3 linked regions of the Kluyveromyces lactis genome follow. The protein of the gene in region 3 purifies or fractionates together with the protein of the main gene of each other region. This does not show direct contact. Links are inferred from orthologs where the notes say so. Each region holds a gene or a part of one and is shown on either strand. Other genes may lie near its edges.

Region 1 (3,759 bases), on a different chromosome or scaffold from region 3:
AGGCTCATTGAGTGGTTCACTTATCAACAAATCTACCCTTTTTAAGGATGATATTGCTGATAATGCTGACGAACTGAAGGCGGGAAATGGTGTTATGGGCCTATTAAACCAATATTACAAAAAATCAGATCGCAATCGATGATAAAGTTTATTAATGTTGAGTATAGATTATATAATATGCAGTTAACGTTTGGTATTACGGAGCTTCTTTTCACGCTCATATTTGTTTTTCTCAGCACCTTCTTCAGTACTGATTTGATTGACAATACGTGCCATCTTGGAATGGTAATCGGCGTACTCCTTCTTCTTTTCTTCAATGCCTTGTCTTGCCTCGAATCTAGTGTCTTTACGTATTTCTTTCATAGTGAACTTACGTTCCTTCTTCAATTGCGCCTTCATCTTGTTCAACTCACTTCTGGTCTTATCTGGATCATACGACTTCTTATCTGGGTTGAAGTTCTCTTCGAATTTAGGCGTATTTGATGGAATCGCCAGTGGTTTATGCTGTTGCAACGTCAATGGCAGACGTTCTTGGAATTTCAATAGCTTTTCGATCTTTTCCACTAATTGTTTTGGTTTAGAAGTACCAGGATATACTTCGGCAGCCACGTTTAGTATGTCTTTGAAGGGATTAATGATTTCTGGGAAGGCAGTAAGATCTTTCCAGATGTTCGTTATGCACCAATCAATTGATTCTAGATTGTTGACCAGCACGGACAGTTTGATAGATTCTTGCTTTTCTAGATCCTCGGAAAATAATGAGTGTAATTCTAAAGAAGGGGCGACCTTGGACCAGTTAATATCCGAGCCTACTATTGATAAATTGTCCTCCTGTTTTTCTTTGTTTTCTAATGTTTCCCCTTTGGTACTCGGTATTAGAGAACGCAAAGATGTCTGCAAGAAGTATGTTAACTCAGGAATATAACGCTTGCTTATACGTTGATACTGGATGGCGATTCTAACCAGTATCGAACCAAATATTAATTTTTGAAGAGAATTGAACCTAATTTGTTCCAAAAACTCTGCAATTAGAAGCAGACAGGGAGTAATGACTAAATGATAGTGATCCGAAGTGGAGAACAACATACCAACAACAGAGAAAAATACCAAATCTGATGGAGATAGTCCATAGAACTGGGATTCTTTGAATCTAGTCTGAATATCTGAGATGATATTTCTACAATCCTCTGATAGTGGAATGGTAAACTTTTCTGAAAGAGTCTTTAGAATGCTTACTAGTTCGTTTTGTAATGATGCAATTTCTTTCACATTAACCGAGTAATCTTCTTCAGCCAAGAAAAGTATATGTCTGAGCAAAACAGCAGTGAATTTGCCCAATTTTTCTTTGTTTCCCTCAGCCAATTTTGGTTGGTATGTTTTTACTATTCTTTTAACTAAAGATGGATGCTCTTCGATAGGATAAGATTTCAAGAAATTTAGTAAGTCATCGTGAATTTGAGGACATGGAACAGAAGGTATAACTCTTGCTGAAGGTCTACCATTTGATGTAGCGTCGTATTCATTGTCATCATTGTTATCCTTCTCGAAATCAACGTCGTCATCCGAGTCAGGAATTGCTTTGATATATTCACCATATTCGCCCTCCTCAGAGTCGCTATCTTCCCAAAACTCTTCTCCCAAATCTTCAACACCAGCATCTTTTTGATCTTCAATGTTGAAAATACCGTTCATACGATCAAGCCTTTTCTGCTCCAATTCCTTTTGTTTGTCCTCATATTCTTTCTTAATCTCTTCATCTGTTTTAGTTCTATCTGCAGGGGCAGCTCTTTTCTCCAAGACTAACTCTTTCACCTTGATATCATAATCTGGAGCGATGTCTGTGGAGGTCGAAATCTCAGTTTGAGAAGGTTTAGTCTTTGGTAACGTCCTTAATTCAGACATAATGCTTTCGAAATCGTCATCAAGGCCTTCGATATCTTGGACCAATTTCTCCTGCGCCTTTTGTCTTTCATGTTTGTAAAATTTGGATTTAGCAATGACCTCTTGCATGACTTCTGCCTTAGTCTTCTTTCTTGCTGGCTCTTGCAAAGCGTCATCACCTAACCCTTCATCTCCGTATTGATCCGCCATATTTCTTTTACCAGCTTGTTTCAACCTGAAGTCCTCCGAATCAGAATGCTGTAACCCCAAATCACCTTCATCGAAATCATCTTCCAAGGAAAGAGACTTACCATAATGAGTCAACTTTTCACCGTACACGTTTTCATCCTCACCACCATCGCTATCGTCTAAATTGAATAACGATCTTTTCGTCGAAGATTGACGTTGTCTTTCCTTTGTGAAACGTTCCAACATGATCTCCTCGGAAGTCAAATTCTTATCCTTTTCACCAAAACGTTTATCTAAGACACCACCGCTTCTGTTCTTGCTGGACTTCTTGGCTTCGTAGAACATTTTACGTTGATCTTCACCGGCTTGTTTAGTGATTCCCGGCTTACCTACTGCAAGTTTAGCTGCAGATTCCCTCATCACACCAACCTTTTTATTACGATTTGTTTTCACATCAAACGGATTAAACTGTTCCCTAATTCTTTCAATAGTCTTCTGTCTTTCTTCTCTATCAAACTCCCTGGGAGATTTGCCCTTCTTCTTAGAACTCTTCTTGACATTGGTCTGACCAGTCAACCCATTAGCCTTTAAAGCGGCCTTCAAGTTCTTCAACTGTGAACCACCCATTATTATTCGACTTTGTAACCTATTTGCCCACAGACAAGAAGAATGGTCTAAACACAACTGATGATGCAAGTCAATTCAATACAATCGGCCAAGATACTGAACCTTCTGACAGCCTTTGATTTAATCCCATCTCATCTCATCTCATCGCTCAATTCATCTTCTGTCAAACTTTTAATGCTTTTTCACCGAAAAGAAAGAAAATAGTTACCCGCACAATAAAATCAAATCAAGGTTACCCGAATATCCAGCACAATCATTACGAACGATGATGAAGTCACGTTTTTCTAAGATTCGATTGTTACTGTTACTGAGGAAGCTTTTACCGTAGCTTGTCATTTTAAAGGCATTATGAGAAATAAAGGAAATCAGTTACAGGTGGCAAATATATACGAAATAACCGCGAACAGAGGTACAGCAGGTTACAGTGTCGGTTCTGAGACTGTAAGTTTGTGTGGTTTGAATACAGGACGGATACAGAGAAATTGATTGTATTGCATTTCGGTTTAAGTTGAGCAGGCAGAGCAAAGAGAAAAGAGTATAAATTATATCGTAAAATATGTCCAGAGACGCTCCAATTAAGGCAGAGAAAGATTATACCGAAATCTTGGACGCTGAATTTCCTAAGCTTGAGATTTTGGCCAAGAATGATTATTCCAGTGCTTTGGATCAATTGTTAGTGTTGGAAAAGAAGACTAGACAATCTTCTGATTTAGCATCTTCGAAAAGAGTCTTGACTAAGATCGTAGATGTTTTGGTCGCAGCAGACCAATGGGACCTACTTAACGACCAAATCATGCTTCTATCAAAAAAGCATGGTCAATTGAAGTTATCTGTGCAGTATATGATTCAGTCTGTGATGAAATATTTGGAAGACCTGAAGGATTTGGACACCAAGATTAAAACTATTGAGACGATAAGAACCGTGACTGAGAACAAGATTTTCGTGGAAGTTGAAAGAGCTAGAGTCACTAGAGATTTGGTTCATATCAGAAGATCTGAGAACAAGATCGATGAGGCCACTGACTTGTTATGTGAATTGCAAGTGGAAACGTATGGGTCCAT
Region 2 (3,632 bases), on a different chromosome or scaffold from region 3:
ATAAATCCTCCGAAATGTACTTCCAAATTCCTCACATTTTGCTCATTACCATCTTCGGTTCTCATCTTGTTAAGATTCGACTCTATATTTGCGATGAACCCTGAAATCAACCGAACAATGCGATCCCCCACGATTTCCTGTTTCTTCAGCGGCAAGATTTTGACAGTCATTTTGATAAACCAATAATGAAACACATCTGATATCTCTTGCTCCACACATTTCAAATAAATCCTGTATAAGACAGCTACATGACGTCTGTGACCAGCATAACTCTTCTGCGCCACCTGGAAAACCTCCGCTATAGAATTCAGAACACGACGATTTGTAGGAGATTCTCCATCCTGAACATCCATATCAAACAATTGCACCCTTTTGGTCAATAATACCACGAGTATACACCAGGGAAAGGCTGCTATGAGGTTGCCGCCGATGTTTCTTCCACTTTCCTTTTCCTCTTTGTTTATTAGTTTGTTTATGTGAAGAGAAGATCCAATTGTAAACAAATCTCGTTTTCCCAATAGATCTAATATATCACGTGATATGATCATACTGTACGGTGTTGAAGCTAAACTAGTTTCTTTTTGAAAAATTTCAGCGTTAAGAGCACACAAGCTTAGAACAGAAGCTCATCTCATCGGATAACAAAGTCGTATATTTCTATCTAGTCAGTGAAGTTTTTTGATTGACATCAGCCTACAGTTTGTCAATCTTTTGTTTCATTCTAATACATTAGCTTTTGTTCTCTGATACAGGTTTAAGGTCCTCAATTTATAGAACACATTTGATCATGACTGATACTGGGAAGAAACAGGTAGTGCATCGATCCAGGTTTGTGCAGTTTACACCTGGTAATATAACGGCTCTTGCATTTTCACACAAAAGTACTGATAAAGCGGCACCGCAAGAGCTAAGACTGGCTATTGGTAGATCCAATGGTAATATTGAGATCTGGAATCCAAGAGATGATTGGGTACAAGAGTTCGTGATCTTGGGAGGTGAAGGAAGATCCATTGAAGGTCTTTCCTGGTGCAGTATTCGTGGAGAGCCTTTGAGACTATTTTCGATCGGTGGCTCCACTGTAGTTACAGAATGGGATTTGACAACCGGGTTGCCGTTAGTAAATTACGATTGTAACTCTGGTGTGATTTGGTCCATTGCAATGAGCAACGATATGAATAAGCTAGCGGTCGGATGTGATAACGGCAGTGTAGTACTTATTAACATCAGTGGTGGTAAAGGTGTTCTTGAGCATGAGAGCATACTTACAAGGCAAGAATCTCGTGTCTTATCGTTGACATGGACAGCCAATGATGAATCTTTGGTCGCTGGTTGTTCTGATGGAAGGATTAGAATATGGTATACTAAGGAGCAAGACGAAAACAAGGGAAGACTATTACATACTATGAAAGTGGATAAATCGAAGAAAGAATCTACACTCGTATGGTCTGTGTTGTATCTAGCTAAACAGAACCAAATTGTGTCTGGTGATTCTACTGGGTCGGTCAAATTCTGGGACTTAAACTACGCAACATTGACTCAATCTTTCAAGGTTCATGATGCCGATGTTCTATGTCTGGCTACTGATCTGGATAATTCACAATTGTTCACTAGTGGTGTTGATAGAAAGATTTTCCAATTCTCTTACATCGATACAGGAAAGAGCATGAAATGGATCAGTACTTCAAACAGATTATTCCATTCCAATGATGTTAGATCTATGTCCTCTTATCAATGTATGGGATCCGACTTCCTAGTGTCTGGTGGTATTGAAAAGTCTCTTGTCATGTGCTCAATGTCCTCTTTCGCTGAAGGAAATTATAGAAAGATGCCACTAGTTACCCCATTCCATAAGAGCATCCTGGTCAACAAACAACAAAGACTATTGGTGATGTGGCAGGATAATATCGTGAAGATATGGTATATTGGCGAAGACGTCAATGAGCCTAAGAACTACAAATTAGTTAGTAAATTGGTTTTGAAGGATGAACAAAACATCCAAACCTGTGCACTATCAACTGACGGACAAGTTTTATTAGTGGGAAGACTAAATACTACCAAAGTTTTCCATTTACAACCAACAGACAACAAATTGAAAGTAACAAAGTTGGACAATGAGTTTTTGTTGAGAACTGGTTGCAAATTTGCTAAGTTCATTGATGATTCTAGGTTAATAATGTGTTCACAATCTGATGAAATAGTTAGAATTGACCTTGAAGAGGATGACGACGAAAAAACCGTAACTATTGAGTTACCTGAAGCGAACTCAACGAAATCCAGCAATAAACTATCATATTTGAATGCAGTGAACCATTTAGATGCAAATGAACGTTACGCTGTTGCGTCTAGAGGTACCGGTGCTCTAGACTTAATAGATTTGACAACAAACAGTAGTAAAGCTTTAATTCGCATGAACAACTTCATCACTGCACTGTGCATCACACCAAGAGAGACTGTAGTAGTAGTGACATCAGAAAATAAAATATACGAGTTCAATTTGGAATCCGAGAAGGATCAACTACTCACTGACTGGTTCAAAGCCAATCATGAAAACCTCCCAAGGCAATTTACTTCCTTGAAAGAGAGATGCACAGGAATATTCTTAGATGAAATGGATGAGCATAAGGTATGGTTCTGGGGATCTAACTGGTTGGTTAACATCAACATGTCATTAGACTTGCCAGTTAGCAAAAGAAAGAAGCAAAAGAAGCGTGACCGTGACGGATTAACTATTTCCACTGACGGTCTACAGGCAGACGTCGATGAGGATGATGAAGACGATGAAGAACTCGAAGTTAAGGAAGATTATCTCTTAAAAACTCAGAGAGCGCAAGATGTCACCTCCAAGAAGAGATCTGATAAGGCGTTTTTCTATACCGATAAGTATAGACCTCTATTATTCGCTGGAAAGATCGCAAGTGACCAATTAATCATTGTGGAAAGACCAAACTTCTTGATCTCCCAACCTCCTGCATTTGAATTAGAAAAGTTAGTATTCTAATTTATAATTTCTGTACATTATTATAAACTCGATCTTCATCGCGAAATTGATTTTTAACATAGGGTCATCATTCCGCCGCATATCATCTGTGTAGTGTTCTTTCTGCTACCTTAATACCAATGAATGTCAAGAGCGAACTGCAAGCGAACATTTTATCAGACCAGACGTCGATTACAACATCAGGAATAGTGAATTTCTCACCCAAGAGTTGATTGACCTGTTTTGAGACATCATATGGTAAATTGGAGCGAATCATCAAGATAGTGGCAAGGATGTACACACCTGTCAACTCACACACAGCGAGGTTTTTGATGATCGAAGGGGGTTTCTTGGTATAGAATGCATCCTTATTGCTCGTAGGAAGCTCAGAGCCATTGGTACTCTGCATTGCAGATAACGCTAATAATTGTAGTTTGACAGGCAGTAATGTCAAAAGATAAGAGATTGTCGTAGTGACAGTAGAAAGAGAGCACACGAACAACGAGATGGACAATATCAAGGATATCTGTTTGATTAACGAATCCATGTCATTTTGATGTTCTAATCTTAGAACCAAGAAGTCAAACATATTGGCGAATGTGACAGCTAAGGGGTCCTTTTCAGTACTTTTATTGTCGAAGAATTCATAACTAAA
Region 3 (3,345 bases):
CAGAGTCTACTGGTGCTGCTTACCAAGTTGGAATTAACGACGCTTTGATTGGTGCTGCCGCTGGTATTGCTTTGGCCTTCCTATGATTCCTTTACTTTGGGAGTTGTTTGCTTTCTCTTGAGACGATTTGTGTTGTTTATTACTCTTTCGTTCCTTGCTTGTTTACAAGAACATGAGGAACGCTTAATACTTAAAATAAAAAAATCCATTTGACTTTTCCCGATCTTTTCCTTTAATCCTTTGAGCTATTCCTTTGATGTTCCCGCATTTAATTCTCTACGTCGCTGGCTATGTGAATTAAATCTTATCTGTTCTCAAATTCGTTCTCTAACACCTTATTTTATCATGGCTGACAATGAAAGACACTACTCAAAATCATGTCACAATGATTTCTATTAATCCTTTCCTAGTTCTCTACATCATTGATCGGTTAGAGCTCTCTATATATAAATATATACCCTTGTAACAATTACTAATGTATTTCGGCTTTATTAAAGTATTCTTCTTTTTACTATACAGGAGATTTTTCTATTGATAAGATTAACTAGAATCCGGTTTGTTCTATCACAGCAGAAAAGATACCATTTCTTGCACCTGGTACCTTGCTAATCCATCTTCCTAATCTATGTTCTTTACTGACACTTGCTAGAATTCTGAAGGTTTCTCTACCGGTTCTGCCGGATTCTACGGCTTGAATTTTGGTTACCACACCTTTACAGTTAGGTAAGTCTCCTAATAGTTCAAATGCTCTTAAGTTCTCATTGATTTTCCATACCTTCAGGGTTCCATTCCAGGATCCTGAAATGAAAATATCAGAATATGGAACGGCGTATAATGATGTTATCCAAAATGGTTGGGCAATGGATCCACCTTGTAATTGTGCATTGCGTAATTCATCGCTCACTTCCCCAGAGATTTTTTTATCCTCAACTAATGGTACAACACCATGAGCAGTTCTAACGGTGAAAAGAGGTTTCTTTTTGGATAAAGACCATAATGATATATTTCCGTTATCAGAGCCAGTAACGAAATGTGAATCATCTACCATGCTAATACAATCGATACTTCCCTCGCCATAAAAGTGAGGTGGGGTCTGTTCATGCATATCTTCTCCGCCTTCTGCGGACAATTGTTGGTTCTTCAACCATTTTTTCCTCAGTCTTTCAGGATCATCACCACCTCTGAATGTCAATCTGGATTCGTCAGCTATTTTCCACAACATAGCGGTACGATCCCTGGACCCCACTGTCACACAACGCTCCATATTTAGGGCAGAGATATCAATAACCAAATCCTGATGACCGTATAATATTTCCAGTTGAGAAAACTGGTTAATAGCATACGTTCTGATTTTGTAATCGGCACATGCTGCGAATAATTGATCCGAATTCTTCTTGAATGCTAATCCTAAAACCTCACCTCTACGATCTTTGGTTGGAATAATTTTCACAGGGGCTAAAGATTCGGTACTCCATACTATCAGTTTACGGTCACGACCACCACTAACTACGTATTTACCATCAGGAGAAGCTGCCACCGTTAAGATTTCATCGTAATGACCTTCTGTCACATTCTCGTACTCAAATTTACCTTCCGGTATGTATTTTCTACCACCTTTAACATATTTCACTTTTTTTGGTCTAGCTTTGAAATCAGTAACATCATATTTTGTTAATTGCATGTCCTTGCTAACAGTGTAAGCAAATATTTTGTCCTTGCTCTTATTTTGAACATCTTTATGAGAAAACTTGTTAACTGAGGGTTGATAACACGAAATACATGTTAGATTATTTTCGCCTACTCTTGTAAACGTTGTTCTGGATTCACCTATCAAAAGCTTATTTGAAATCCATCTATAGATACGCCCTTGTTGCTCTGCAACATCTTGTTTCAATCTGGAAGCAATGATATCTCTGTCCAAGTCACGAGCATCAAAGTTATTGTAATCCTCTAATTGTGTTTGACGGTCCTGTTCAGTGCTTGCGGTCGCCAGAGAATCGCCAATATCTTCAGCTTCAGCCTTTAAATTCTCTAAATATTGTTTAGCCAATCTTCTTCTCTTATCAGCAGGGTTTTCGCCTTCAAACTCGTCTTCAGATTCCAAGTATTCTGCTACCTCATCGCCATCATTGGATTCATCTTGGACATCACCTTCATCAGAAGAAATATCCGTGATTTCCTCATCTACCTCTTCGACAGAATCCCTATTACGTTTTTTTGAGACATTGCTTGTACTAGATCTAGCCATGGTGTACTTGGTGGCCCTCTGGTTGCTGTCTCGTCTGGTTTAGTTGCAGCTCATCGCCTGTTTCAATGATGTTGGTTCAGATGTACAATTTTTTTTTCAGTATCGCCAATTTGTAAAAGAAACGACACCACTTGAAAAGTGACAAAAATTGAAGAATGCATGAACTTGCAACAGAATTAAATAATAGTTTGGAAGACTTTACTCGATTCAACGACCTATATGCCTGATTTCATTGGTATTGCTAGAATTACTTAGTTTAATTTACATTACGGCAGAAAATGAACGTCAATGCACGGATCGGAAAATCAATTATTATTTAAACTGACAATACTTATTCTAGTCCAGATAAGAAGAACAGGGGATTATCATATATTATTGAAATCGGCCTCAAATTTGGCCTCAATAATCGTGTTGATTTTTCTTACTAGTGGAAGTAGTTCAGCTCTTTCTGCAATTTTTCTTGCAGCAGATAGGGCCTTATCTTGCTTCAGTTCGTTGACGATTGAAACGGCCTTGTTAACATCTTGCTCGGAACAGACATAAGCTAAAAGTCGTAGTAAGGACTTATCATGTGTTGCTACCAGATGCTGTAATAGATCTGTTTCATTTCCGTATATCTCACCTTCATTATCCATCGTGTCTTTTAGTAAATCACTTAGTATCTTGGAGCGTAGAAATTCCTCTTCTGCTGCTAGGTACATTGGAATTTCGACACCATTACTGTTATCAATATCTTCCACATCGCTGCTGTCGTTACGATTATCGTCTTGTGTCTTTTGAAGCTCGGATTTTGATACAACTGGGATTCTGACTTCCATTTCTGTAGGAACGGTCATTGGGATATCTGGCCATGCGTTCTTCCCCTTCAATAATAAATACGAAAATGTATCGAAGTTTAATCCTAATGGCCAAACGTGGACGTTCTTCGGATGCTTACCCCCTGACATCTTCCAAAGTTCTAAATTGGTATCAACTATGGGTACCCATCTCGCGTCACTACCACTTCTCCATTTGGACAGAATTAACAAAACATTATCATGACCAAACATACACGGATCACCAAAGCTTGAGAAGAATAAGGATTTGATACCTAGGGG

What was found.
Region 1: the proteins of RRP9 (region 3) and NOP14 purify together in Saccharomyces cerevisiae (affinity purification with mass spectrometry, with the first as the bait; 3 studies listed by BioGRID). This does not show direct contact. The link is inferred for Kluyveromyces lactis from reciprocal best matches to the Saccharomyces cerevisiae genes RRP9 and NOP14.
Region 2: the proteins of RRP9 (region 3) and UTP4 purify together in Saccharomyces cerevisiae (affinity purification with mass spectrometry; 4 studies listed by BioGRID). This does not show direct contact. The link is inferred for Kluyveromyces lactis from reciprocal best matches to the Saccharomyces cerevisiae genes RRP9 and UTP4.

The regions. Positions count from the first base shown.
Region 1 is NC_006039.1:1,426,689-1,430,447, reverse strand, and holds NOP14 (snoRNA-binding rRNA-processing protein NOP14), read right to left. Parts: upstream 2,698-3,759; coding exon 184-2,697; downstream 1-183. Other genes in the region: autophagy protein ATG9, read left to right, coding at 1-142; proteasome regulatory particle lid subunit RPN5, read left to right, coding at 3,254-3,759. UniProt on the Saccharomyces cerevisiae protein: Involved in nucleolar processing of pre-18S ribosomal RNA. Has a role in the nuclear export of 40S pre-ribosomal subunit to the cytoplasm.
Region 2 is NC_006040.1:1,131,433-1,135,064, reverse strand, and holds UTP4 (small subunit rRNA maturation protein UTP4), read left to right. Parts: upstream 1-787; coding exon 788-2,998; downstream 2,999-3,632. Other genes in the region: condensin subunit YCG1, read right to left, coding at 1-548; KLLA0_D13200g (uncharacterized protein), read right to left, coding at 3,081-3,632. UniProt on the Saccharomyces cerevisiae protein: Involved in nucleolar processing of pre-18S ribosomal RNA. Required for optimal pre-ribosomal RNA transcription by RNA polymerase I together with a subset of U3 proteins required for transcription (t-UTPs).
Region 3 is NC_006038.1:970,217-973,561, forward strand, and holds RRP9 (ribosomal RNA-processing protein RRP9), read right to left. Parts: upstream 2,249-3,345; coding exon 545-2,248; downstream 1-544. Other genes in the region: KLLA0_B11055g (uncharacterized protein), read left to right, coding at 1-86; chromatin-binding protein CTF4, read right to left, coding at 2,614-3,345. UniProt on the Saccharomyces cerevisiae protein: Involved in nucleolar processing of pre-18S ribosomal RNA. Required for efficient pre-rRNA cleavage at sites A0, A1 and A2, and biosynthesis of 18S rRNA.